Oryctolagus cuniculus: one gene and its partners. The protein of the gene in region 3 interacts with the protein of the main gene of each other region in a pairwise test. Links are inferred from orthologs where the notes say so. Each region holds a gene or a part of one and is shown on either strand. Other genes may lie near its edges. The genes, in order: ZMYND10, MAD2L1, TSC22D4, NRBP1, POLR1C and TEX11.

Evidence for each region.
Region 1: the proteins of TSC22D4 (region 3) and ZMYND10 interact in binary tests that used the Homo sapiens proteins (3 or more experiments, as listed by UniProt). The two-hybrid records come from large-scale screens. The link is inferred for Oryctolagus cuniculus from reciprocal best matches to the Homo sapiens genes TSC22D4 and ZMYND10.
Region 2: the proteins of TSC22D4 (region 3) and MAD2L1 interact in binary tests that used the Homo sapiens proteins (3 or more experiments, as listed by UniProt). The two-hybrid records come from large-scale screens. The link is inferred for Oryctolagus cuniculus from reciprocal best matches to the Homo sapiens genes TSC22D4 and MAD2L1.
Region 4: the proteins of TSC22D4 (region 3) and NRBP1 interact in binary tests that used the Homo sapiens proteins (3 or more experiments, as listed by UniProt). The link is inferred for Oryctolagus cuniculus from reciprocal best matches to the Homo sapiens genes TSC22D4 and NRBP1.
Region 5: the proteins of TSC22D4 (region 3) and POLR1C interact in binary tests that used the Homo sapiens proteins (3 or more experiments, as listed by UniProt). The two-hybrid records come from large-scale screens. The link is inferred for Oryctolagus cuniculus from reciprocal best matches to the Homo sapiens genes TSC22D4 and POLR1C.
Region 6: the proteins of TSC22D4 (region 3) and TEX11 interact in a two-hybrid assay, tested with the Homo sapiens proteins (2 studies listed by BioGRID and IntAct). The two-hybrid records come from large-scale screens. The link is inferred for Oryctolagus cuniculus from reciprocal best matches to the Homo sapiens genes TSC22D4 and TEX11.

The regions. Positions count from the first base shown.
Region 1 is NC_091441.1:98,973,200-98,977,200, forward strand, and holds the start of ZMYND10 (zinc finger MYND domain-containing protein 10), read left to right. Parts: upstream 1-1,201; 5' UTR 1,202-1,352; coding exon 1,353-1,444; intron 1,445-1,697; coding exon 1,698-1,806; intron 1,807-2,343; coding exon 2,344-2,460; intron 2,461-2,582; coding exon 2,583-2,636; intron 2,637-2,729; coding exon 2,730-2,867; intron 2,868-2,979; coding exon 2,980-3,068; intron 3,069-3,148; coding exon 3,149-3,249; intron 3,250-3,541; coding exon 3,542-3,714; intron 3,715-3,945; coding exon 3,946-4,001. UniProt on the Homo sapiens protein: Plays a role in axonemal structure organization and motility. Involved in axonemal pre-assembly of inner and outer dynein arms (IDA and ODA, respectively) for proper axoneme building for cilia motility.
Region 2 is NC_091439.1:45,314,142-45,318,276, forward strand, and holds the start of MAD2L1 (mitotic spindle assembly checkpoint protein MAD2A), read left to right. Parts: upstream 1-1,335; 5' UTR 1,336-1,818; coding exon 1,819-1,891; intron 1,892-2,913; coding exon 2,914-3,060; intron 3,061-4,135. UniProt on the Homo sapiens protein: Component of the spindle-assembly checkpoint that prevents the onset of anaphase until all chromosomes are properly aligned at the metaphase plate.
Region 3 is NC_091450.1:42,686,147-42,690,081, reverse strand, and holds the start of TSC22D4 (TSC22 domain family protein 4), read left to right. Parts: upstream 1-1,135; 5' UTR 1,136-1,611; intron 1,612-2,012; 5' UTR 2,013-2,272; coding exon 2,273-3,034; intron 3,035-3,935.
Region 4 is NC_091433.1:175,555,873-175,560,065, reverse strand, and holds the start of NRBP1 (nuclear receptor-binding protein), read left to right. Parts: upstream 1-1,393; 5' UTR 1,394-1,521; intron 1,522-4,193. UniProt on the Homo sapiens protein: Required for embryonic development. Plays a role in intestinal epithelial cell fate and proliferation, thereby involved in the architectural development of the intestine potentially via the regulation of Wnt-responsive genes.
Region 5 is NC_091436.1:126,548,517-126,552,516, reverse strand, and holds the start of POLR1C (DNA-directed RNA polymerases I and III subunit RPAC1), read left to right. Parts: upstream 1-1,200; 5' UTR 1,201-1,261; coding exon 1,262-1,330; exon of another isoform or gene 1,331-1,361; intron 1,362-1,441; coding exon 1,442-1,513; intron 1,514-1,810; exon of another isoform or gene 1,811-1,877; coding exon of another isoform or gene 1,878-1,958; intron 1,959-2,701; coding exon 2,702-2,809; intron 2,810-3,018; coding exon 3,019-3,151; intron 3,152-3,373; coding exon 3,374-3,493; intron 3,494-3,575; coding exon 3,576-3,728; intron 3,729-3,882; coding exon 3,883-4,000. Other genes in the region: protein YIPF3, read right to left, coding at 163-360, 873-953. UniProt on the Homo sapiens protein: DNA-dependent RNA polymerase catalyzes the transcription of DNA into RNA using the four ribonucleoside triphosphates as substrates.
Region 6 is NC_091453.1:50,676,084-50,679,583, reverse strand, and holds part of TEX11 (testis-expressed protein 11), read left to right. Parts: intron 1-146; coding exon 147-227; intron 228-318; coding exon 319-438; intron 439-3,500. UniProt on the Homo sapiens protein: Regulator of crossing-over during meiosis. Involved in initiation and/or maintenance of chromosome synapsis and formation of crossovers.

The DNA of each region.
Region 1 (4,001 bases), on a different chromosome or scaffold from region 3:
AACCTGTGCCCTTATGGGATGCTGGTGCAGAGTTGGAGGCTGAGCCTACTGTGCCACAGCGCTGGCCTCAGCTAGTCTACTTTGGATCCAACTCCCTGCTAATGCACCTGGGAAGGCAGTAAATGATGGCCCAAGTGATTGGGCCCCTGCCACCCACCCACGTGGGAGACCTGGGTTCTTGGCTTCATCCTGGCCTGTTTCTGGATGTTGCAGTCATTTGGGGAGTGAACCAGCAAAGAGAAGATCTCGGCCAGCGCAGCGGCTCACTAGGCTAATCCTCCACCTTGCGGCGCCAGCACACCGGGTTCTAGTCCCGGTCGGGGCGCCGGATTCTGTCCCGGTTGTCCTTCTTCCAGGCCAGCTCTCTGCTGTGGCCCGGGAAGGCAGTGGAGGATGGCCCAAGTGCTTGGGCCCTGCACCCCATGGGAGACCAGGAGAAGCACCTGGCTCCTGCCATCGGATCAGCGCGGTGCGCCGGCCGCAGCGCACTAGCTGTGGCGGCCATTGGAGGGTGAATCAATGGCAAAAGTAAGACCTTTCTCTCTCTCTCACTATCATCCACTCTGTCAAAAAAAAAAAAAAAAAAAAAAAAAAAAAGGAAGATCTCTCTGTCTCTAAGTTAGTTAAGTAAATCCTTTTTTTTAATAAAGTAAATCTTAACAACAGAACTTAAGGCAAAAGCCACTCTGGGGAGTATAAGGAGCCCACGGGCCAGCCTCGGGGCTGTTAGGAGGCAAAGGGGAGACGGTTAGGAGGCAAAGGGGAGACGGCAGAATCGAAGTCCCGAGTGAGGAGAGAGAAAGGGGGACCCTAGGAAGCTGCCTTGGGCCTGGATTCTGAGGGTCCGAGACGAGCCCAGAGCGGCGCCGTGCGAGGGAGGGCGTGTGTGTGACGCGCACCTTCCAGGCTCCCGGCTGTGGCGGAGGGGCCGGGACAGGAGCAGGTCCGGAGAGAACGCTGCCGGCCCTGGGCTGCACCTGGAGAGCAGGCTGCGGGAAACCACGATGAGACATCCGGTGGTCAGGATGGCACGGCTGCCAGAACTGGCGGAGTCCGGATTCCCCAGCCCAGTGCCGGCCCCAGGTATTGGCCGCGGCCGGAGTCCGGCCCAGGCGCGGTTGTCCAGGGCAGCGGGCTCCGCTAGCTAGCGAAGCCGACAGCAGGGGCGGGGCGGAGCCGCGGCCGCACTGCGCAGGCGCGGGCTCACCCGTTTACATGGCGACCAGGACCCACGCGCCGCAACCGCCCCACAACCGTCCTGTGCCAGACTTCGGCCCCGCTGCAGTCCGTCGTCCTGACGTGTGTCAGCGCCCCCCGCTCCCCAGCCTCTGCCTGGGGACCCTGGCCCCGACATGGGCGACCTGGAGCTGCTGCTGCCCGGGGAGGCTGATGTGCTGGTGCGGGGTCTGCGCAGCTTCCCGCTGCGAGAGATGGGCACTGAAGGGTGAGGCGGCTGGGTCAGACCGAGTCACCGCGGCAGGCCTTGAGTGGGGGAGAGCTTGGGTTTGACGTTCGGGGAAGGGGTCGCCCAGTGCGCAGGGGCTCGGGCGGGAGGCAGAGATCTTGGAGGCTAAAGCTTGTCGCTGCGGAGCCCCCCTCGCTCCTGAGAATCGGGCTGCATTCAGGAGGATGCAGCCCCGCCCTCACGTAACGGCACACCTGTGCACCCAAATGCGCACACGTCCCGTCTGGGGCAGGTGGACGCGGCAGCACGAGAGCCTGGAGAAGCTCAACATGCAGGCCATCCTGGATGCCACCGCGAGCCAGAGCGAGCCCATCCAGGAGCTGCTGGTCACCCACGGGAAGGTATGACGGGCCGCTGCCCGTCGCTCCTCTCCCACCGCACCCTCAGGGCTGAAGGCGTCCCTGGATTGACAGCAAGGCCTGACGAGCTCCCCACTGGAGTGCGAGTGGGACTTTGGCATTGGCGGGGGCAGCCTCCCCAACACGAGAGGGGAGAGTTGGAGCCCATGCCGATGCCCGGCTGGAGCGTGGACCAGGGGTGGCCCCAGCACATGACCTGAAATGCCACTTGGCAGAAGGGATCCTCTGCCAGCAGTAGCAGTGGGCACAGTGAGAGGGAAGGGCCCTAGGGGACAGAGGACAGAGTGGATGGAGGCTGCGTGTGGGAGGGGTGCTACGGCTGCAGGGGCAGAGGGTGTCCCCACTGAGGTGCTGGCGGCAGCTGGAAACAGGGTACATGCTGGGATGTGTCCTTTGGCAGCCTGGGAGTCTCTGGGACTCCGGGGAGTGCAAGAGCTGAGCTGGGCCAAGGCAGACCGGGGAAGCTTGCCAGGCTAAGGCCAGCCCGCCCACCCTTGTTCTTTCCCTCACCCTCCGAAGATCCCGACGCTGGTGGAGGAGCTGATCACCGTGGAGATGTGGAAGCAGAAAGTGTTGCCCGTGCTGTGCAAGCTGGAGGACTTCAAGCCCCAGAACACCTTCCCCATATACATGGTGGTGCGCTGGGCCCCACCTCACGCCTCTTCCCACCCCGTCGGAGGGCCCTGGACTGGGGAGGACAGCTGGTGTCCCCGCCCCCCCCTCCCCAGCAGCCCCGGTGGCCTTGTCCTCTCTGGCAGGTACACCACGAGGCCTCCATCATCAACCTCCTTGAGACAGTGTTCTTCCACAGGGTGAGGTGCAGGCCGGGGCCTGGCCCGAGGGGCGTTGTGTCTGTGCGGGGAGGGCATCAGAGACCGAAAGTTGCCCCTCTGCCTGCCCCCCAGGAGGTGTGTGAGTCGGCAGAAGACACCGTCTTGGACCTGGTGGACTACTGCCACCGCAAACTGGCTCTTCTGGTGGCCCGGGGTGGCCAGAGTGGTCTCCGGGAGGAGGAGGGGTCCCAGGACAGCACCCCCATGCAGGTGGGCTGAGAATCCCTGAAGCGGGCAAGGCACAGGTCCAGGTTCCCCGAGGCCTGTGCAGGAGGGGGTCGGGGTGGGGCCGACACAGCTGGAGCACCGTGTGGCCCTGCAGGAGCTGCAGAAGCAGGCAGAGCTGATGGAGTTTGAGATCACACTGAAAGCCCTGTCGGTGCTGCGCTACATCACAGACTGCGTGGACAGGTGGGCAGCCTTCGGGGGCCTAGGTGGCTGGCGGCGCCTGTAGCCTCCGCTCACCTCCCTCCTCCCTCCCCGGCCCCTAGCCTTTCCCTGAGCACCTTGAGCCGCATGCTCAGCACGCACAACCTGCCCTGCCTCCTGGTGCAGCTGCTGGAGCACAGTCCTTGGAGCCGGCGGGAAGGCGGTAAGATGCCCCCCCCCCCACCCGCCCCAGCTCCCAGGCCACCCTTCAGGACCGATGCAGGTGGGCAGTTTGCACACAAACGTTGCTCCTAGCTCACAGAGGATACCAGGATGCCTCATCCCAAGTGGGCCTAGAGCTGGGCTCTGCAGCAGGCAGGGCCCATGTGTCCACTACTGAGGACTCACCTTGCACGGGGGCCCAGGCTTTCCCACCATGCCCAGGCAGCGGTCAGTTCCCCCGCCCGCACAGCGGACTCGCTCCCAGAGACTGCTTTGCCCGCCCCTCTCCCCAGGCAAGCTGCAGCGATTTGAGGGCGGCCGTTGGCATACGGTGGCCCCTTCGGAGCAGCAAAAGCTGAGCAAGCTGGATGGGCAGGTGTGGATCGCCCTGTACAACCTGCTGCTGAGCTCTGAGGCCCGGGCCCGCTACTGCCTCACGAGTTTTGCCAAGGGACAGCTTCTCAAGGTAGGGGGCTCCCCTGCACCAGCTGCTCCAGCCCAGCGCCACCCCTCCCCATCCCATCCCCTCCCCACCCCCACCCAAGTCCTCCTTCCAGACCTGAGCTTCAGGTGACACAGCCAATGCGACACAGGCCCCGCAGGTACCCTCAGCCCAGCCCAGGCCTTCCCTGGTCCCTGGCCCCGGTCCCCTGGCCGGCACCAGCTTCACCCTGGCCTCCCCCGGATTCCCTTGCAGCTTCGGCCCTTTCTCACAGACACCCTCCTGGACCAGCTGCCCAACCTGGCAGACCT
Region 2 (4,135 bases), on a different chromosome or scaffold from region 3:
CAAGAAATTCTTTCCTGAATGCTGTTTTAACATGGAGTTTCTTAGAAAGAGAGGCAAATTTTATACAGAGAAAGGTGGACACCACACTATTAGTCTGATGGCAAATTCTAGTCCTACTTTTAAGCTCCCAGTAGAAGGGATGAAGAACATCCAAGTTTCTTTCTCCTTACCCTCACATCACCTATTGTCCCTAATATCAAAGATTGCAGTTTCTACACATACACACAATAAAGGATATAAGGAAAATATTTCACTGGGTTATATTAGCCTATTACCGATTATGTTCATTTTTAAACTTCAAATGGTTAAAAATCTGATACATAACACTAATAGAATGCTAAGATGGAGGCCCAAATTCCAAGCCCCTGAAGGGATACATCCAATATAATCCCTTTGCCTTGAGTTTGGGCAGAACCTAAAACTATAAGGGGAATATCACTTCTGGGATTAGGTTAATCAAAAGGGAGGTGACCTGACCTACTCAGGTGAGCTCTCCCAAAGATCAAGGGTCTCCTGAAAATCAGAGACTGGAAATGGGAAAAGACATGTGACAAACATGCAAGACAACACACGGGGACCTCACTCCAACAACGGCGAGCAATGTAGTTCTGCCAGCCAACAACCAGGGAGTTTGGGAGGGGACCCCAAACAGCAAATGAGACCACATTTGCAGACCTTTGATTTTAGCCTTGTGTGACATCGAACCTACGTCATGCTCAGTACCTACATAACTGAGATAACAATTGGTGTTTTTTTTTATTTAAGCCACCAATTTATGGTACTCTGTTCCGAAGCAATAGAAAACACACACACTCAAGCATTTCTCATATACTTAAATAACAGTATGCATATGTCTGGCAGATAGGAGAGTTTTTCAGACTTCATTTTACATTTCAGACTTGATCTCCCTAGATGCTTTAAGAATCCTTTCACAATGGACATCAATGCTACTTGTGCACTACCTCCTTAACACTTCTCATCCTATTGAATTTGCGAATGAAAATTCAGTGAGTTAATTCTTCAGTGTCGATGGGCCTCTTCTGTGAGGTTTAGGCCAGCCCCCTAAAGATGGATAGAAAGGACAGAACCTGGAGGAGGTCTCAACCGCCCCTCACCCCCACCCCCACAAACACACACCCTGGTCTGTGACGGAAGGCCATACTTCCAGACAGATTTGGCAGGGGACAGAAAAGCAAGATGCGGTTTGTCGCTTTAATCTCTAACTCCGTCTCTCCGGAAAAGCCGCGTTCCCACAAAGACACCAGGCCTGCCTAAACTACTTGGCAGCTGCATACTTTGTTCCTTTAAAAATCCCCCAAGCGTGCACTGCGGGTTGCTTCAGGTGCAGCGGCCAGGCGGCTCACAACAGTTTGACAGTTATCTCTCAAATTTAGGAAGTGCGCCTCTCTTGGTCACTAAAGCCACAGGTCTATGAAGCGACCATTTAAACGCAGACCTTCCACCTTCTTTGCGCGGCCAAACAAGTACCTGGGCGACCACGCCAGAGAATATCTCCCAACACCACATCAGAGCGTAGAAACTTGGAACCTGGCGACCAAGTTCACCAACTGCGCCTGCGCAAAGCGGCCTTGTCGTTCTCCTTGCCCCCCCCCCCCCCGCAGCGAAGTCGGGGAGGCGAGAGAGGAAGGGCAGGGCCCCGCCGCGAGGGGCGGGGCTTAGAGGCTCGTCGCGTTTACGCAAAGGGCGCGACTGCGTGCTGCGTCGTTACATTTGAAACTGGTGGCGGGGAACTGCTGTGGACCGCCGCCGTCTGGGTCTGCGGAGCGGAAGCGCGCGTTGGCGTCCGTGGGTCTGGCCATGGCGCGACAGCTAGCCCGGGAGCAGGGTATCACCCTGCGCGGGAGCGCTGAAATTGTGGCCGAGTTCTTCTGTGAGTCTTCCTGGCGCTCGGCGGAGGGTGGGGATACCTGAGGCCTGGCGGCGCGGGAGGCCTACGGCTCGGCCTCGCGGACCCCTGAAGCCTTGGCCGCTGCAGGCCTTCTGCTGCCCGGGAGGAGTGTGGGGAGAGGAGATGCGGACGCTTGTGCGGTCTCTATGCTGATGCTACAGGGGGAGGCCTAGGTGCCCCTGAGGCCTGCCTCCGGGCCTAGCCTCTAACGGAGCGAAATGCTTCTTTAATATGTTGATGCCTCCCCCCATTCTCCCCCCATATTTCACCACCCACCCCGCCCTCCTCCTAGAGGCTTGGGACACCAAATGAGCGCGTGTGTTTCCACCTAGACTCCACCCTCAGCCCAGGTGTGGGAGCTGTACTTCCTCAAAGAACAGTGAGGAGGAAAAAGAGGGAGAGGCTAGCCGGACGCAGTGGACCAGAAACTCATTCACGTGTTTTCTGGGTCGCAAAAGTCTAGTTTGGCGTCTTCTGAACACATAATCTGAACTTGGGCTTGCCTTACAATACGGTAAAATTGGGAAGTGGTAGGTTAAGGCAGTTTGGCATTTTTCTTTTGTTTAGTTGTCTCTTGGTAACAAGATTTTAAGGATTTTTAAAAATACTTATTTTTTTGAATGGCCTGGACCAAGCTGAAGCCTGGAGCCTGAAACTCCGTCCTAGTTTCCCACAGCTAGCAAGGACCCAGGCATTTGGGTCATTTTTTACTGCCTTCCCAGGGCACATTCTCAGAAAGAAGGCTGGGAAGTAGAACAGGACTTGGACTAGCACTCTAGTATGGGATGTCCTGCGTCACAGGCACTGAGTTAACCTGCACCATAAGGCAGACCTGAATTAAAGGATGTTGATGGCACTCTGATTACTTTGGTTTCCACGAGATATAATAAATGTGTGTAACCATTTTCAGTTTTTTAAGAGTAATGAAACTAGTCACATTTAAACATACTTTATTTTCCATTGGTACAAAAGGACAATGACTTACATGTTTGTTTTGCTTTCAGCATTTGGCATCAACAGCATTTTGTATCAGCGTGGCATATATCCATCTGAAACCTTTACTCGAGTGCAGAAGTATGGACTCACCTTGCTTGTAACTACTGATCCTGAGCTTATCAAATACCTAAATAATGTGGTGGAACAACTAAAAGGTATTTAATCATTGGAAAAAATTCCAGTGTTGCAGGCATTCCTAGAGCTACATTTTCTATCATGCTAAATGGCCTTTTTCAGCTTCCTATATCAAAGTATTAATTTTTTAAAAAAAACAACCATCTCAAATATAGTGATTCTCAATTGGGAGGAAGCAAATAATAGTGATTGAAGTAGATTGGTAGAAACCCTATCCACCCCCCTCCCCACACACACACACTACATTTTAAGTGGGCTGGATATTTTACTTTCAGAAACCTTACACAGCCTTAACAAAACAGTTAGCATCAAATCCCTTTGAAATAGCTTTTGCAGGTAATGTGGCCAGGGGAACAACATGGAATTTTGCATGATCCCAATGGCATTCATTATCTATTTAAGAAAATGTACGGTATATGTTCTTATATGGTATGTTGGTTTTCTGTAACTGGCGTCTATAAAGTTGTTAGATTAAGATCAAGGAAAATAAAAATGAATGCAACTAGGGAAGTAAACTTCAAAAATAGAAAAAAGAATAATTACTCAATAGATATCCAGTAGAGTTTTCTTATTTTTCAACCACTTCCATTTGTTAGAAAAATTCACAAATTTTTCTGTGTGAACACTTGCTTTAGCTCAAGAAATTGTATTCCTTGTTGGATCAAAACTTGATCTCCATTTGTTTGGTTTTTTACCTACTTCGGGAACTCTTATTAGTTTCTCTGCCTAGGGTTTTTATTTCTAATTTTCTATGTTGTAGTGTGTTTCTCTCAATTTGGCTTCCCATGTTATTTCCAAAGAGTGCTACAGTAACTAAATATTTTTTTTGAGGGGAAGGGAATTTTTAAATTCAGAAATCCTTTTTTTCTCAAATTTTTTAGTTCAATTATAGCTTCATGCTTTATAATTTTCATTGTATTTTCATGAACTTTGTTTTTAAAGTGCCCTGTTGATGGGCATCTGAATTTTGTTACCATGTTATCTCTCTTTCAAGCTACATTATCCCCTAGATAATATGTAAATATTTAACTGCCATTCATATATACAATATTAAAATCCTTCAATACTTATAGAGGTTAATTGGATGTATTCTCT
Region 3 (3,935 bases):
GCGGGAGAGCTAGGGAAAGGGGCCCTGCTTGTGGCTGCTGGGGTTGGTCCTCAGGTGCACCTGTGTGGGTAAGTGGATATTCCTGCGTGTCCAGTGTCTGGAGAGAAAGTGAAAGTCAGCCTCCTGTCTGCAAGTCCTAATGTGTTTCTCGTTCCACACAAAGAGCTGAGTGTGGGGTCAGCACTGGGGCGCAGCAGATTAATGCTCTGCCTGTGCCGTCCGCATCCCATATGGCCACCGGTTCTAGTCCCGGCTGCTCCTCTTCCAGTCCAGCTCTCTGCTATGGCCTGGGAAAGCAGTAGAAGATGGCCCAAGTCCTTGGGTCCGTGCACCCGTGTAGGAGACCCAGAAGAAGCTCCTGGCTCCTGGCTTTGGTTGTGGCCATTTGGGGAGTGAACCAGCGGATAGAAGACCTCTCTCTCTGCCTCTCCCTCTCAATCTCTGCAACTCTGCCTCTCAAATAAATAAATAGAAAAGAGCTGAGTGTGTGGAATGTCTCTGCTGTACGAATGACAGCCTTTTCCAAACTCTCTGGTCTCAATTTTCACATCCAAGTAGTTCAGTAATATGATGTCCAGGATTTCTGATACAGGACATTGGGGGTAGGGATGGGAGAAGGCGGGCTAGGAGTTGCTAATCGCTGAACCCACTTGCTAAGTACCTGGGTGGTCACTATTCAGTTTTGTTGGAAGTTTTTCATAATAATCCACTTTTTCAGATAAGGAGTGGGGGAAATAATAGTCCCTTCCTCTTTCAAAGAAGCTGTGACAATGACAGTCACAGCCGCGCCGGCACGTTTAAGTCAGGCACTTCTGGGCAGCCGGGCACCCCGCACGGGCCTGGTCCGCTCCTGGGCGCGCGTCCGCAGGCCAATGGCAGCCAGCTGCCTGCAAGTAAGGGAATCCCTGGTCTCTCGGCGAACTCCGCCCCTTTCTCCCCGCCCTCGAAGCCCCGCCCTCCGAGGAAGCGCCGGGCCGGGGCCCAGCAGGTGTGGGGTTAAGGGAGCCCGTCTGGGGCCCCAGGAGCAGAAGCAACTGCAAGAGCGGCGGCTGTGGCGGGCCTGGCCCGGGGCCAGCTGGCGGGGAGCCCCAGGAGGGAGGAGGGGGGAGGAAGAGGGGAAGGAGGAGGAGGAGGAGGAGGAGAGGAGCAGTCAGCAGGCCCGAGGAGGCAGGACTTCCTGGTGTGGGGGTTGTCAACAGCCCCGAAAGAGAAAGACAGACGAGACTGAGAGCAGCCGAGGAGCGGAGACAGGTCCAGCGGGACCACGCGGGAGGAGGTGTGCGAGACCCGCTCGCCGGGACCACCGAGGCCGGCTGCCGCCTGGAGCCGCGGGGGGCTGAGCCGCACCCTCCCACAGCTATCGGGAGACCTCGGGCTTCGGAGGCGGCTCCTGGGCTCCGCCGAGGGGGCGCAGACTCCTTTTCTGGAGCGAAAACTTTCCACGGAGATGCCTCGCAGGGGGAGGTGCGGCCCCCGAACAGGACTGGGCTGCCCCTGACCGCCGCCTGCGTGCCCCGCGCCACCCCGGGGCCAGGAGGCCCCCGGGAAAAGACAGCCCAACACCTTGGGCGCCGGGACCCCCACGGTCAGCTCGGTGGCCGAGACCGAGAGGTAAGGCCCCCGGACTGGGCGTGGCGCGGCGCGGCGCTTGGGGCGCGGGCAGGGCCTGCCCCTGGGATGTGGGAACCGGGGTGCGGGGTGCCTGGAGGAGGCCCAGCAGAGTCCGCCAAGCGGCCTGGAGGTGCCGCCTCACCCTGGTTCACCCAGGACCTGGAGCCGGTGCGCTCAGGACAAACTGGGTCCCCTGAGTTTGAATCCCAGGCCAGAAATGCCCAAGTCTGTGTGCCCCACGCCGTGCTCTCTGGCCTCCCCTGCCTGTCTCTTTGTCTCTGGGTCTCTGGCGATTTCCCCTTCCTCTCCAATTCTGCTCCCCAGAGAGGAAGCCCCGGAGGTGGCCTGCCCACTGCTTTCTCACACACGCGCGCGCACCCGCGCTCTCTCTCTCTTTCCAGTTTGCAAACTCAGCTCTGGAGTTCGGCGGCGGCAGCAGGAAAAACCTGCCCCTGCTCCCCCCTCCCGCCACCTCCCCTACCCTGTTCTGTCATCAGCCGGGCACCCCCAGTTCCCACAAGGCCCTTTGGCCATGTCGGACCCAGATGTTCCCAGGGGCCCTGATGCCCCCGCAATGTGGCCCCCCTGTTCTAGGGGTGCCTGAGCCCCTTCAAAGAGCCCCAGTCCCCCAACCTCAGCCCAGTCCTGAGTTCCGGGGACCATGAGTGGAGGCAAAAAGAAGAGTAGTTTCCAGATCACCAGCGTCACCACGGACTACGAGGGCCCAGGGAGCCCCGGCGGCTCCGATCCCCCTGCCCCACCGGCCCCTGCGGGGCCCCCGCCCCGCCTCCCCAACGGGGAGCCCAACCCCGACCCAGGGGGCAAGAGCACCCCCCGGAATGGCTCCCCACCGCCTGGGGCCCCTGCCTCCCGCTTCCGGGTGGTGAAGCTGCCCCACGGCTTGGGAGAGCCTTATCGCCGAGGTCGTTGGACGTGTGTGGATGTTTACGAGCGAGACCTGGAGCCCCCCAGCTTCGGCCGGCTCCTGGAGGGGATCCGGGGAGCCTCGGGGGGCACTGGGGGTCGATCTCTGGATTCCAGGTTGGAGCTGGCCAGCTTGGGCCTGGGCGCCCCTATCCCACAGCCAGGCCTGTCTCAGGGCCCCACCTCCTGGCTGCGTCCGCCCCCCAGCTCCCCTGGACCTCAGGCCCGCTCCCTCACCGGCGGGCTGGGCCAGCTGTCGGTGCCCGGCAAGGCCAAGGTGGAGACACCCCTCCTGGCGGCCTCCCCACCGCAGCAGCGCCTCCCAGAGCCTGGGACTGGGGATAGCGCCGGCACATCCCTGGCTCCCGTGCCCCTGCCCTCCCTAAGGGTGGAAGTGGAGGCTGGGGGCCCGGCGGCAGGGACCCCTCCAGCGTCCCGAAGGAAAGATGGAGCCCTGCGACTGAGGATGGAGTTGGTTGCTCCAGAGGAGGCTGGACAGGTAAGAGCCAGGTTCCAGGTTGGGGGAGACTCCTGAGGGCCCTGCTCAGGCATCTCAGTCGGAGCCTCACCGCCATGCTCCCCTCCCCCGCCACTGTCATCTGTCTCATCCGTGGCACCTCTTTTCTCTCTCTGCCGTCGCACTTTGCTGTCCTTTGCTTTCTCCCTGGGGCTCCTCTTCCCTGCAAGCTACACCTTCTTTCTCTGTGGCCTTTAATTTGTTGCCTTTGGCTCTTGCCCTGTCTCCATATAGCCTTTAGCTACAATGGTCTGCTCACTTTGGTCACCACCTTCTGTCTTGGGGTCTCACTCCCTCTGGCTCCAGGTAATGAGGGTGGAGGCCCCGGGCTGGGTGACTCGGCCCCTGGTCGAGGAGTTGCCAGGGTTTGGGGCGGGGGGAGGCTCAGGGGGCAAAAGGTGGGATTTCTGCTCTCAACCTCTCCACGCAGCTCCATCCTAAGCGCGGGGTCTTCTCTCTGCCAGTGCCCAGCCCAGGCTCATCTCCACCCTTGCTGCAAGCCATGTTTCTCTGAGGCACTGAGGAACTGGGTGGATGGGGCACTGGACGGGATGGGGGGCTCGCCTCACCCCTGGTGGGGGGGTCTGTCTTGGTTCCTGCCTCTGTCCCCTCTGGGGTTGATAACAAGGGGTGGCCACCGTGGCGTGGGAGAGAGGCGGGAAGCAGCAGAGGAGGAGTTAAGTCCTGTGCGTTCTGCTTCCTGTCTCCAAAAGAGGAACAAGTCTGGGCTGGGGGCAGGATGCCTGGGTCCCTGGGGTGGGGGTGGGCAGCCAGGAATGTGGGGTTGGATGCTTCTGTTCTGCAGGAGAAAATAACACCTTGGACTGCGGGGTGAGGGGGAAGGCCTGGAGGGTGAGGATGAGAATGTTTCCCCCTTCCTGGC
Region 4 (4,193 bases), on a different chromosome or scaffold from region 3:
TAAAAAAAAAATAAATAAATAAAAAAAATTTGTATAAGTGTGAGGATTGAATGAGTTAATATATCACGAGGCAATTAAAACACGCCCTAGCTCATAGAAGCTACTATGTATAGTACTAAATATTTTTGAAATATTGTGATATTTTTACAATCACGCATTTTCTATATTCATAAGTAGGAAAAATAAAAATAAATAAATGTGGGGGTGAAAACACAGGCAGTGTCTGACCATGCCAGATGTAATGCAAGGTTGGAACGAGAGCCTGAAGGTGTCAAAGGATCCTCTATGCGTACTTGAAAGGAATTAGCTGAAAGCAAAAGGTTGCTAAGGCTCATTCAGAAGAAATTAGAAACTATAACCATGACAGGAACTGACATTTAATGAACATTTACTATGGGTCAGATGTCCCAATTGTTTTGGAGCCCACAGAGGGACAAGGTTAATCTGGAGAGCAGCAAGAACATTATTTTCTTTGAGATTAGAACAAAGATTCTAGCCTCAACACTCTGAAATTATATATTAAATTTGGTGAGTGCGAACTTTTTTTTTCTTTTTTTAATAAACATGCTCTGAAGGTTTAGAGATCCCTCTAAGGCCAGCGACCCCGGGAGATGAAGACACTCCCCAATCCTGGTGAGGGATCCAGCCTCCGCCCTCCACCATTCGCGTCTGGTGCCAGAGGGAACTTCACCCCCCAGGCTCCGAGTTCAGGTCGCAGCCCCAAGCTCGCACCTCCTCGCCGCACCAGTCTACACCCGTTCCGAATGTCACTTCAAGGAAGTCTCCCGCGAGTCTTCCTGTTTGGGACTCTAGCTCTGACTCTCTACTCTTGCGTTTGTCAGGTGTCACCGAACGATAATCTCCACGAGTTCGTTCCCACCAGGATCAAACGATGCGGATCTGCGTCAGGCGCCTGCACGCAGTTTGGCAGCCGTCAGTGCTGTGCAATCACAGAGCGCTATTAATTTTCAGTACGAAGTGACTTTTAAAAGCGCCTTCCGAAGATCTGGTGCCCTGCGCACACAGCATCGCCCCGAAGGAACGAACGAGCGGCAGCGAGCGCTCCCCTCAGACCGAGGCTGCGTCGCCCGCTCCTTTTGTCTTTTCGTGGCATGAGAACTGTCATGGCGCCTTCCAGAAGAGGGAGAGGCCCTTCTTCGGGCCCAGCAGGACCCTCGGGGGCACCAGGACCGGCCGGGGGGCTGGACGTGGGCGAGCCCCACCTTGGGACGGAGAAGCCCGAGCCCCGCGCGGCGCCCGCGGCACTCGCCGTCGGGGAGGAGACCCGGTTGAGCAGCAGCCCGGCGAGCGGCCGCCCGGCGGGCACCGCCCCCCGCCGCCTTGTCCAATGGAAACCTGACGGCGCCGCGGCACCGCCCATCTGTTGGTCAGGACGCCGCGAGGGCGGGGCCCGCAGTTCGGTTGCGCTGCGGAGCGCAGCTGTGAGGGAGTCGCCGCGATCCGGGGCCCCGGAACCCGAGCTGGAGCTGAAGCGCAGGCTGCGGGGCGCGGAGTCGGGAGGTGAGCGCCCCGGGCGGTGGGGTCCCGGGAAGGGAGGGGTTCGCGAGAGGACAGAGGGATCGGTCTCCGAGGCCCGCTCGGGGCACCCGGTAGGCGGGTGCTGAGGCGGCCCTCTCCACTCGGCGCCCCGGGCTGGCCGAAGCTGAGGGGCCTGCTCGGCCCCGCGGCCGCCGCCCGGCGCTCCCTGGCCTCCCCGGCGTGGCGGCGGCGGCCCCGGAACTCTGCGGCGCGGCTCGGGAGGCCCCGGCGTTCGCTTGGAACTCGGGCTGCGAGAGGCGGGGCCGGCGGCGGGGGCGGGGGCGGGGGCGGCGGCGGCCGGGCGGCCTGCGGAAGCTGCGCGGCCCGGCCCGGCCTGCTCGCGGGCGGCGCGCCGGCGGCGCGGGGGCGTGGCCTGCGCCCTGACGCGCGGCGGGCCGGCCTTTGATGAGGTGGCCGCCGCGGGCCGCAGCGCCCCGCTGCCTCGCGGACGCCGCGCGGGGCGGACCTGTTGGAGTGCGCAGTTGGGAGGGCCTCTCTCCCTCCCCGGAGCTTGCTTTCCGTCCCGCGGCCTCCGAGGCTCGGCGGCGTTAAGGACAGCCGAGAGGCCCTGTGGCCTGGGAGCTGCGGCGAAGTTGACAGGCGGAGGGGGGCTGCGGTCGAATAAATCAAAGTCTCGGAGAAGAACTTTGCGGGTCCACTGCGCTGCTCCAGAGTGGACGCGCCTGGCATCCGAGGGTGGCGAGTCCCCCCCCGGTGGTTGGAAACGGGCCTTCCCATATGTGGCCTCTCTCTAACTTGGCAGCAGCCCCCGTGTTACCCAGGCTGCGTCTCCGATGGTGGGCGGCTGGACGCTCTTGGGCAGTGTCCTCATTTTGCCCACCGGGAGAAGACTGGGGAAGGGGGAGACAATACCATTCCAAGGGCTTCTGTCTGTGCCTGATGAAGGTTTGGCCTCTCCTGTGCTGCCCTAGTGTGGATGAGTGGGGGCCAGACGCTTCTTCAGATCTCATTGCTTTCAGTTCCAACAGCCTCGTGTTGGAATTCCACTGATGCTTACTGTTGTAATCTAGCCAGAAATTCGAGACGCATTCAGAGAATCCAGCTGCTCTGCAAGATGACTGATAGACTTTCTAACTGACACGTGCAGATAGCTGCCCTGGCTGGCCGAGTCTCTAGGATGGGCACAGACCTGGAAAATAACGCGGGACAAAGAGTGCCAGTTCTCTCTGATGGGCCTCATTGCCATTTGGTGGTCACTACAATGTCATCTAATAAAAACCTTATGGTTTGCCTTATGGTATATGTTGAGGGCAGATGTGGGCATCAGAGAGTTTTCTTTTTTCTTTCCTTTTTTTTTTTTTTTTTCTTTTTGAAGGTAGAAGAAAGAGAAAGTTTATTCATAGGTGAGGAGGCAGCAGACTTTTGAGTTTCAGGAACCATCATCCTGCTTGGTGAGGATGATCTGGGGTTTTTATGGAGGCTGCAGAGGGAGGGTGGGCTGCTGAACCAGGTGCTGAAGGCGGGTGTGGCTCTGTTCACTGGGTGGGTTGGACATCAGTGCAGTCCCTTGGGAACCGTCCTTGATGGCTTGACTTTATCAGGAGAATATAGGAGGGTACCTAAGTAGCTACAGAACATATTTGACTGAGATCTGAAAGAGGCAGATCATTATGTTAAGAGATTCTAGGCTTCATTAATTAGGATGATACTCAACCTAGAGCCCTGGCAGGATCAGGGGTCCCTATCTTTGCTCAAGAAAATAATTTTTTTAAGATTTATTTTATTTGAAAGGCGAAGTTAGGGAGAGAGAAAGACAGAGAAGCTCTTCTATCTACTGGTTCGCTCCCTAAATGGCCACAGCGGCGGGGTGGGGATGGAGGGGTGTGCCAGGCTGAAGCCAGAAGCTTCATCCAGGCCTCCTATGGGGGTGGCAGACTCAGGCATCTCCCACTGCTTCCCAGGCACATTCACAGGGAGCTGGATAGGAAGTGGAGCATTGCAGGTGGTGACTTACCCCGCTATGTCACAACTCTGGCCCCAAGAAAAGAATTTCAGCCGTGAGACAATAGAAGTGAGGTAGCAAAATTTAATGAAGAGAATACGCTTAGTAGGCCAGGTGGCATTTCAGGAGAAAACTGAGAGCTGAGAGTTCTAAAAAGAGCTGTGAGCTTTCAAATGATTTGTGTTGATTGGAGGCCTCTGGCACTCTGAACTTAGAGGAGCAAAGTTACTTCTCGGGTGTCACCTTCATATTGGAGAATGCTCCCTTGAGCCCAGCACACACAGGTTCCTACCCCTTCACACCTTAGTTCTTACAGAATACCATTCTGGGGTTGTCTGGTGATTTTTTGCACAGGGCAGTGATATTCCGCTTTCGAAAGTTTTCTCTTTTCAGGTAGCCATACTCCAGGAAAAAAGGTTACATTCTGTGCTACTTCTTGCCACAAAAGCTGCACCTTAACTTATTTGTGTCTTTTTTTATTATTATTATTTAAAAAAATTTTTTTTTAGTGGAAGGTAAAAGTAGCAAATTTTATTAAGGAAGGGCCATCCGTAAGGGCGGATGGGCACCTCTCTAGACAGGAGAGTGCCATTGCTCGGATGGGGGTGGGGGAGCAAGGTTACATGATTGAGTGGAAAGATTACACCTGGCCAGGCAGGCGGGCGGCTCAGCAGAGAGGCAGAGGGCTGAG
Region 5 (4,000 bases), on a different chromosome or scaffold from region 3:
ATGCGGGGATGGCCCGTGAGGCTCCTGGCCCTGGGGTCCTGCTCCCTAGCTTCTGTCGGGGTTCTACTGGGCTCCAACTGGGGCAGCCTGAGGTCAAGGTCACCCACACGACTCCAGATCGCGCAGGTATCCTGCACTTGCCAAGGATTCAGCCCCGCTTACCTGGTCAGCCACCTGCCGGCTCAGCTGCCCCTTAAAGCCCTTCATGCCCAGGAACTCCCCATCCTCCTCTTCCGCAGCGGCCGCGTCGGCGTCCACTTCTTCCTCGCGCAGGCGCTGGTGCAGCTCACCCATGTCCTCGAAGCTGGAGCCCGAGGTGTCATCCATGTTCTCCATGTCAATCACGGCAGAGCCCCCACCCTGTGAAGGCAATGCCTCCTACAGTGCAGGCCTTTCTGGTCCCTGCCCCGCTGCTGGCGCCGCGCCTCCGAATCCCCGCACATCAGGCCACTGTCACCCCTCACTTTCTCTCAGAACCCCCTGGCTGCTGGTTCCGGCGCTCTCCTCTAGCCCGAGAAGCCACCTACTTGTCTTCCGCTCATGCCTTTTCCCCACCTTCCCCATCAAAGGCCCCGAGGGTTTGCAAGGCGCAAGCAAGACCATGCACACAAGATGTTTCTGGCGAGTGCCAGCGAATCCCGCCCACTGCCCCGCTTGACCCCGATTGACCTCCTCTTCTGTCTCTCTTCCTAACGCCTCAGGCGCGTCCAGAGACCCGAGGCCCTCCGGCCGGCACTAGCTTCACTGACTTTCCCGTGCACGAAGACCCAAAGGGGAGAGGAGTGTTGCAAATGGAGGAAGCTTTCGGGCCCCGAGGGAGGCTTCCCCAGACACGTCGGGGTGGCCGGCAGCCGAAGCGCTGGGGCCATTACCTGGATGTTTTCTTCGAACCCGCCCCATTCCGGGCCGGCCCCGTTTCGAGCGCCGCCGGCCGGCGCCGCGGTGGCTGCCATGTCCCTGGAGGGCTCCCGTCCCCGAAGCCAGCGCTAGCCCCGCGCGCGGAGGAAGAGGGGGCAGACGTGGGCCTGAGGCACGGAGACGTCCAGGGCCGAGGACAGGCGCCACCAGCCGGAACGCAAAAAAGAGAAACCCGGATGTTTGGCCCAGACAGACTTCCGGAAGTTGGGGACGTGGACGGAGGCGGGGCAAAGTCTCGCGATACGTCGGGCTCCGGGAGGCGGTGCGTTGCCACGGCGACGGAGGAAAGCCGCTAGAACGCACGCGCAGGCGTGAGGCCTTAGTCTCGTGGGGGAAGTCGAAGATGGCGGCGGCTCAGGCCGTTGAAGAAATGCGGAGCCGCGTGGTTTTAGGGGAGTTCGGAGTTCGGAATGTAAGCCTTGTGGCCTTGAGTTCAGAAGGAAGTATGAGAGGGACGGGTCGGGATCAAAGTGAGGGCGGGCTTGGCTTCGCTGCCTCTTCACGGACGGACCCGTATCTCTAGGTTCATACCACCGACTTCCCCGGGAACTATTCCGGTTATGATGATGCCTGGGATCAGGACCGCTTCGAGAAGGTGCGTGGGGCCGGAGTGTGATCGGAGCAGCCCGGGCTTCCGAGCTGCTCCCAGGGGTCACTCACGTGGCAAAACCAAGTTTGCTCAGCATCCGACCGTGTCCTGGGCGCTCCTTGCACACCGGGCTTCTGCCTTGTTCTGCGATCGAGCTGTTCAGGCCTGTACAGGTCATTCTAGTTGGATGCGGTGACGGCGGCTGAGAGTGGGGGTGGGGCACCCCTCAGAGACGGTCTAGACTGGGGCAGAATCATAGGATTCCCTGAAGGAAGTGACATCTGAGTTTGAGCCCTGAACGGTGAGTGAAGGTCGAGGAGGGAGGAGTAAGCGAGCTAACTTGTAAAGACGGGGTGGGCGTGTCCCTAGAATGTCCGAACCGCGCATTATTGATAGAATGTTACACTGGCCTGACGGCGGGCACTGGGGGTTCTTGAGCAGGCGTGACCAGGTGATCCGGTTTGCAGCTTTGGTGGTTGAGAAGGAGGAGAAGGGGCGGGCAGATCGCTAGGCAGTGCTGGGGGAAGGAGCCCAGGAGTGCTTTGGTGAGAGCGGTCAGGACTTTCTGGCTGTGGGAACTCATCTGACGGCTGGCGGTGCCTGGGCAGTGGGAACGATGACCCATTCGGTTCCCCGCGGTGTGGAGGAGCTAGCAGCCCAGGAGAGCGTTCGACAGAATGTGGGGAGTTGTCCATAGTAGTTGCTAAAACCGTGAGTGTGGTTGATGTCACTTTGGAGAGAGACAAGAAGCTGGGGACCGGTAACACCTAGGTGGTGGGTGGAAGGAGACGCAACTCCTCAGATGGAGGACTGGTGCCCAGACACGGAGGAGATGGGGTTTGAGAAAGGAGTTTTTTTTTTTTTTTTTTTTTTTTTTTTTAATTCAATGCCAAATGTAACATTAGTAAGAAAAGAACTGAGTCCTGTCAGCTGGACTAAACTGTATAGAAGTTTCTGCTCTTCATAGAATAGCTTCTGGCTCAAGCCATATTGCATAGGATTTTCAACTAGTGGCATACAAAACTGGGGGCATTGTTCAAGAAACTAAAAGAACAGAGGAAGAAAACATCAAATGAGGCTTTGCTGGGCAGAGGAAGGCTTCTGGGGGAGCGGGGATGTTCCGTGTCAAGGGGGAGCTGTAGCCAGGTCACACCAAGAGCAGGCTCCATCCACTTGTTTTTCCTTTGCCTCTAGAACTTCCGCGTGGATGTGGTACACATGGATGAAAACTCGCTGGAGTTTGACATGGTGGGAATTGATGCGGCCATTGCCAATGCTTTCCGGCGAATTCTGCTGGCGGAGGTATCAGCGGGGCCGGTGACGGCTGGAGCGTGGGGAAGTGTGCCATCACCTCATCTGTCAGTGTCTCAAGTTGCCCCCCCCCCCCCCCCCCGATTTTGTGGAGTGTTTTGCTTTAAGTTTTTATGAGGCATTCTTCTAGGAGTTGTCCATCTCAGGAGGTGGGGAGTCTGCCGGGTTTTTATAGACGGGTAATCCTGGTCTCTGGGTAGGTGCCCACAATGGCTGTGGAGAAGGTACTGGTGTACAACAACACATCCATCGTGCAGGATGAGATCCTGGCTCACCGCCTGGGGCTCATTCCCATTCATGCTGATCCACGACTGTTTGAATATCGGAACCAAGGTGAGGGCCTGGGAGATGAAGCTGTTGGGGGAAGTGGAACCGCTTTCTTCCTTAGTAGATCCTGGGACCAGCTGCCTGGGTTCGAATCCTGGGTTGACTCTTGTGGCCCTGGGCAAGTGACTCATCATCTGTGGACGAGAGGAGCAGCACACGGGTAGCACTCGGCAGTGTCTACCCTGATGCTCACTGCTGCTGTAAGGGCCGCCTCTTCCCTTTGTGCAGGGGACGACGAGGGCACAGAGATAGACACTCTGCAGTTTCGGCTGCAGGTCAGGTGCACTCGGAACCCCCACGCTGCTAAAGATTCCTCTGACCCCAACGAGCTCTATGTGAATCACAAAGGTTAGTGGGCAAGGAGGGAGGCCTGGCTGCTGGCTGTGGGGGCGTCTCGGGGCTACAGCCCTCTGACTTGTCTTCCCTCCAGTGTACACCAGGCACATGACGTGGGTTCCCCTGGGGAACCAGGCTGACCTCTTCCCTGAGGGCACTATCCGGCCGGTGCACGATGATATCCTCATTGCCCAGCTGCGACCTGGCCAAGAGATTGACCTGCTCATGCACTGTGTCAAGGGCATCGGTGAGACCCGTGGGCCGCCTCAGGTGCAGGGCGTAGCTTAGTCGCCGCAGGAATCCAGGGATGCTCCTGACCGGCAGAAGGCGGTGGGCTTGGGCTTTCGCGCTCAGTGGCTCGGGAGAGGATTCCCCCAGGCTGATCTCTCCCTTCCCTGCAGGCAAGGACCACGCCAAGTTCTCACCAGTGGCGACAGCCAGTTACAGGCTCCTGCCAGACATTACCCTGCTTGCACCCATAGAAGGGGAAGCGGCTGAGGAGCTGAGCCAGTGCTTCTC
Region 6 (3,500 bases), on a different chromosome or scaffold from region 3:
ACTCTCCTAAATGCTGACTGTTCCTTTTTGTTTTCTGTAGGTTTTGTGACTGAATATTGATAGAGGAGCATTTTCTCCAATATCCCCCAACCAGTCTGGGGAGATGTGAACTTTAAAAAATTATTTTTCTAACTTTTCTCTTCTAGATGAATATTAAAACAGGAAGAGGCTGGATAGATATTGGAAAAGCTGTGCGTTCTGATGAATTTTTTGAAGCTGCCATTGTTGTAAGTTACCTTTGATTTTTAGCTGTGGCAATTATTAGTAACATCTGTGGCTGTTCTCATCCCCACATTGTATTGCATTTTTATTTCCCAGGGTCTGGAGCACTTATATGTCAGATTAGTGGAGAGGAGTTACACTGAGGCACACGTGATCATTCAGAAGGTGGCTGTGGAGAAGGACCTCTTCAAAGTCTATTCTCACCAAGCAGAGTCAGTAGGTATCATAGGCACACAAGCCTTACTACGGGGGCAAGTTATAGATGTAAATGCAAGAATAATGAGAGGTAATCTATTAGAAGAAAATCAAATGTCACTGGCCATTTATAGGATGCTATATTTGATCTTTGGATCTTGTCTAATGTCTCAAGGAGACATGACTAATGGTGACTGGATCTGTATGGGAGTGAATGGGGGTAAATGACTAATATATATTTTCAACCACTGCATGTAACATCTGTCATTTATTTGTGGCAGCAGCCTTTTCTTGCAACACCTGTCTCCGTGACTGTCTCTTACATTCAGTCTGTCAAATATTCAGTCAAATATTTACTTGAGAAGAGTCTTTTCATTTGCTGTTGTTTTTCATTTACTATTTTTTTTATTTTAAAGATTTATTTATTTATTTGAAAGTCAGAGCTACACAGAGAGAAAAGGAGAGGCAGAGAGAGAGAGAGAGAGAGAGAGAGAGAGGTCTTCCGTCCTCTGGTTTACTCCCTAATTGGCTGCAATGGCCGGAGCTGGGCCGATCCAAAGCCAGGAGTCAGGAGCTTCACCCAGGTCTCCCACGTGGGTGTAGGGGCCCAAGGACTTGGGCCATCTTTCACTGCCTTCCCAGACCATAGCAGAGAGCTGGATTGGAAGTGGACCAGCCAGCACTTGAACTGGCACCCAAAAGGGTTGCCAGCACTGTAGGCGGTGGCTTTACCCACTATGTCACAGCGCTGGCCCCTTGATAATTTTTTTAAAAATAAAGTTTATTTATTTATTTTGAAAGTCATAGTTACAGAGAGAAAGAGGAAGAGACAGAGGGATCTTCCACCTACTGGTTCATTCCCTAGATGGTCACAACAACCAGTGCTGGGCCTGGCTGAATCCAGGAGCCAAGGAGCTTCATCCAGGTCTCCCATGTGGGTGGCAATTACCCAAACATTTGGGCCATCTTCTGATGTTTTTCCCAGGCCATTATTGAGGAGCTGGATTGGAAGTGGAGCTGCTGGGACATAAATTGACACTCGTGTGTGATGTCAGTATCACACGTGGTGGGTGGCTTTGCCTGCCGTGCCACATTGCCGGCCCCTTGATGATGCTTTAAAATATCTCCTGTTATCACACAATGTTCAAAGTTGTACTTTGCCTCTGTTTGCATTGTAGGTTTCCTCATTTTGTTATAGTTAGGTGTGCATTTTCAGTTGACAAAAAGCAGTGATGAATTTGCTTAATGTAATTATGTAATCCTGGAAATGAAAGAGGCACTAAAGTCATCTAGTATAGCCCCCTTTTTTACTTTTTATGATTTTTATTAAGATATGATTTATATACCATAGAATTCACCCATTTACAATGTTTAATTCAGTGCTTTTAGTGTATTCACAAAATCGTTGAGGCCATTTGCGGAGTGAACCAGTGGATGGAAGACCTCTCTCTGCCTCTGCCTCTGCCTCTCTGTAACTCTGTCTTTCAAATAAATAAATAAATCTTTTTAAAATAAGAGAGTACAATGTGAGATAGGGATATAGCTTCATTTACATGTGGTTATCCAGTTGTCCCAATATCATTTATTGAGAAGACTATTCTTTCCAAATTGAGTGATCTTGATACATATATCAAAAACCAATTCATCATAAATGTGGAGGTTTATTTGTGGACTCTTATTTCTATTCCATTGATCACAATGTCTATTCTTTTTTTTAAAATTATCTATTTGAAAGGTAGAGTTAGAGAGAGAGGGAGGGAGGGGAGAGCGTCCAGAGATCCAATTGTTTGCTCCTCAAATGTCCTCAACAGCTGGGGCTAGGCCAGGCTGAAGCCAGGAGCTGGGAATTCCATCAGGGTCTCCCATACAAGTGTCTTGGGGCCCAAGTACTTGTACCATCTTCAGCTACTTTCCCAGGCTCATTAAAAGGACACTGGATCAGAAGTGGAGCAGCCAGGACTCTCTCTCTCTGCCTATGCCTCTCTTTAGCTCTGTCTTTCAAATAAATAAATAAATAAATAAATATTTTAAGAAGGATTAATAACATTAATATGTGGTGTCTCTTTCATAGGAGCATAAGTTTTTGGGAGATCCAGAAATGTAAACATGCATTTCAGCAGGGTAATTGCCTTGAAGTAATGTGGATGAAGTTCTTCAGTAAAACAAAGGATTAGTAGTTTATTTTGATGTGAAAATTAAGAAGATTGTGAATTTTGGGGGAGTATAAAAGGGACATAAAATAGATATTTTAAATTGCAGAGGAGAATGAGATTTTTTAAGGTTTATTTTATTTATTTGAAAGGCAGAGAGAAAGAGAAAGAGAGAGAAGGAAAGAGAGAGAGAAAGGGAGAGAGAGATCTTCCATCCATTGGTTCACTCCTCAAGTGGCCACAGTAGCCAGGGCTGGACTAGATTGAAGTCAGGAGCCAGGAGCTTCATCCAGTTCTCCCACATGGGTGCAAGGGCCCAAGTACTTGGGCCTTCTTCTGCTGCTTTTCTCAGGCCATTAGCAGGGAGCTGGGACTCAAACTGACATCCATATGGGATGCTGGCACTGCAGGCAGTGGCTTTACGTGCTATGTCACAATGCCGGATCCATTTTTTAAGGTGAGAGATGAAGTAATTTTTAGAGGGATACAGTAGGAGGATATGGCATGCTATAAAGTACTTGAGGAATATGATAGAGTCTGTCCACCTGTGTGGGAAATATACTGCAGAAATCAACAAAGGGGAAAACTCAGTTTTATTGAGCATCTACTATATGCTTGACATAGTACTAGGAGCTGTAGTGTTCCTAATTGCTTAGCTGGAGTGAAGGTCCTATTGAAGTTAGCATAAATTCGTAGAGGGTCCATTTAGCATAGTTTACAGTGGATGACAGTGCCCTCTCTCTGTCTCTCTGTCTCTGTCTCTCTCTGTCACATAAATAAATAAATATAAATAAATAGTCTAAACAAAATTTTAAAAGTAAAATACCGTATCTGTTAACTAAATTCTTCAATTCTTAAATGGCTGACCCAAGCCTCTTCTATAAATGCTTAATAAATCTTTACATATTTATTTTTTATTTGAGAAAATCTTGC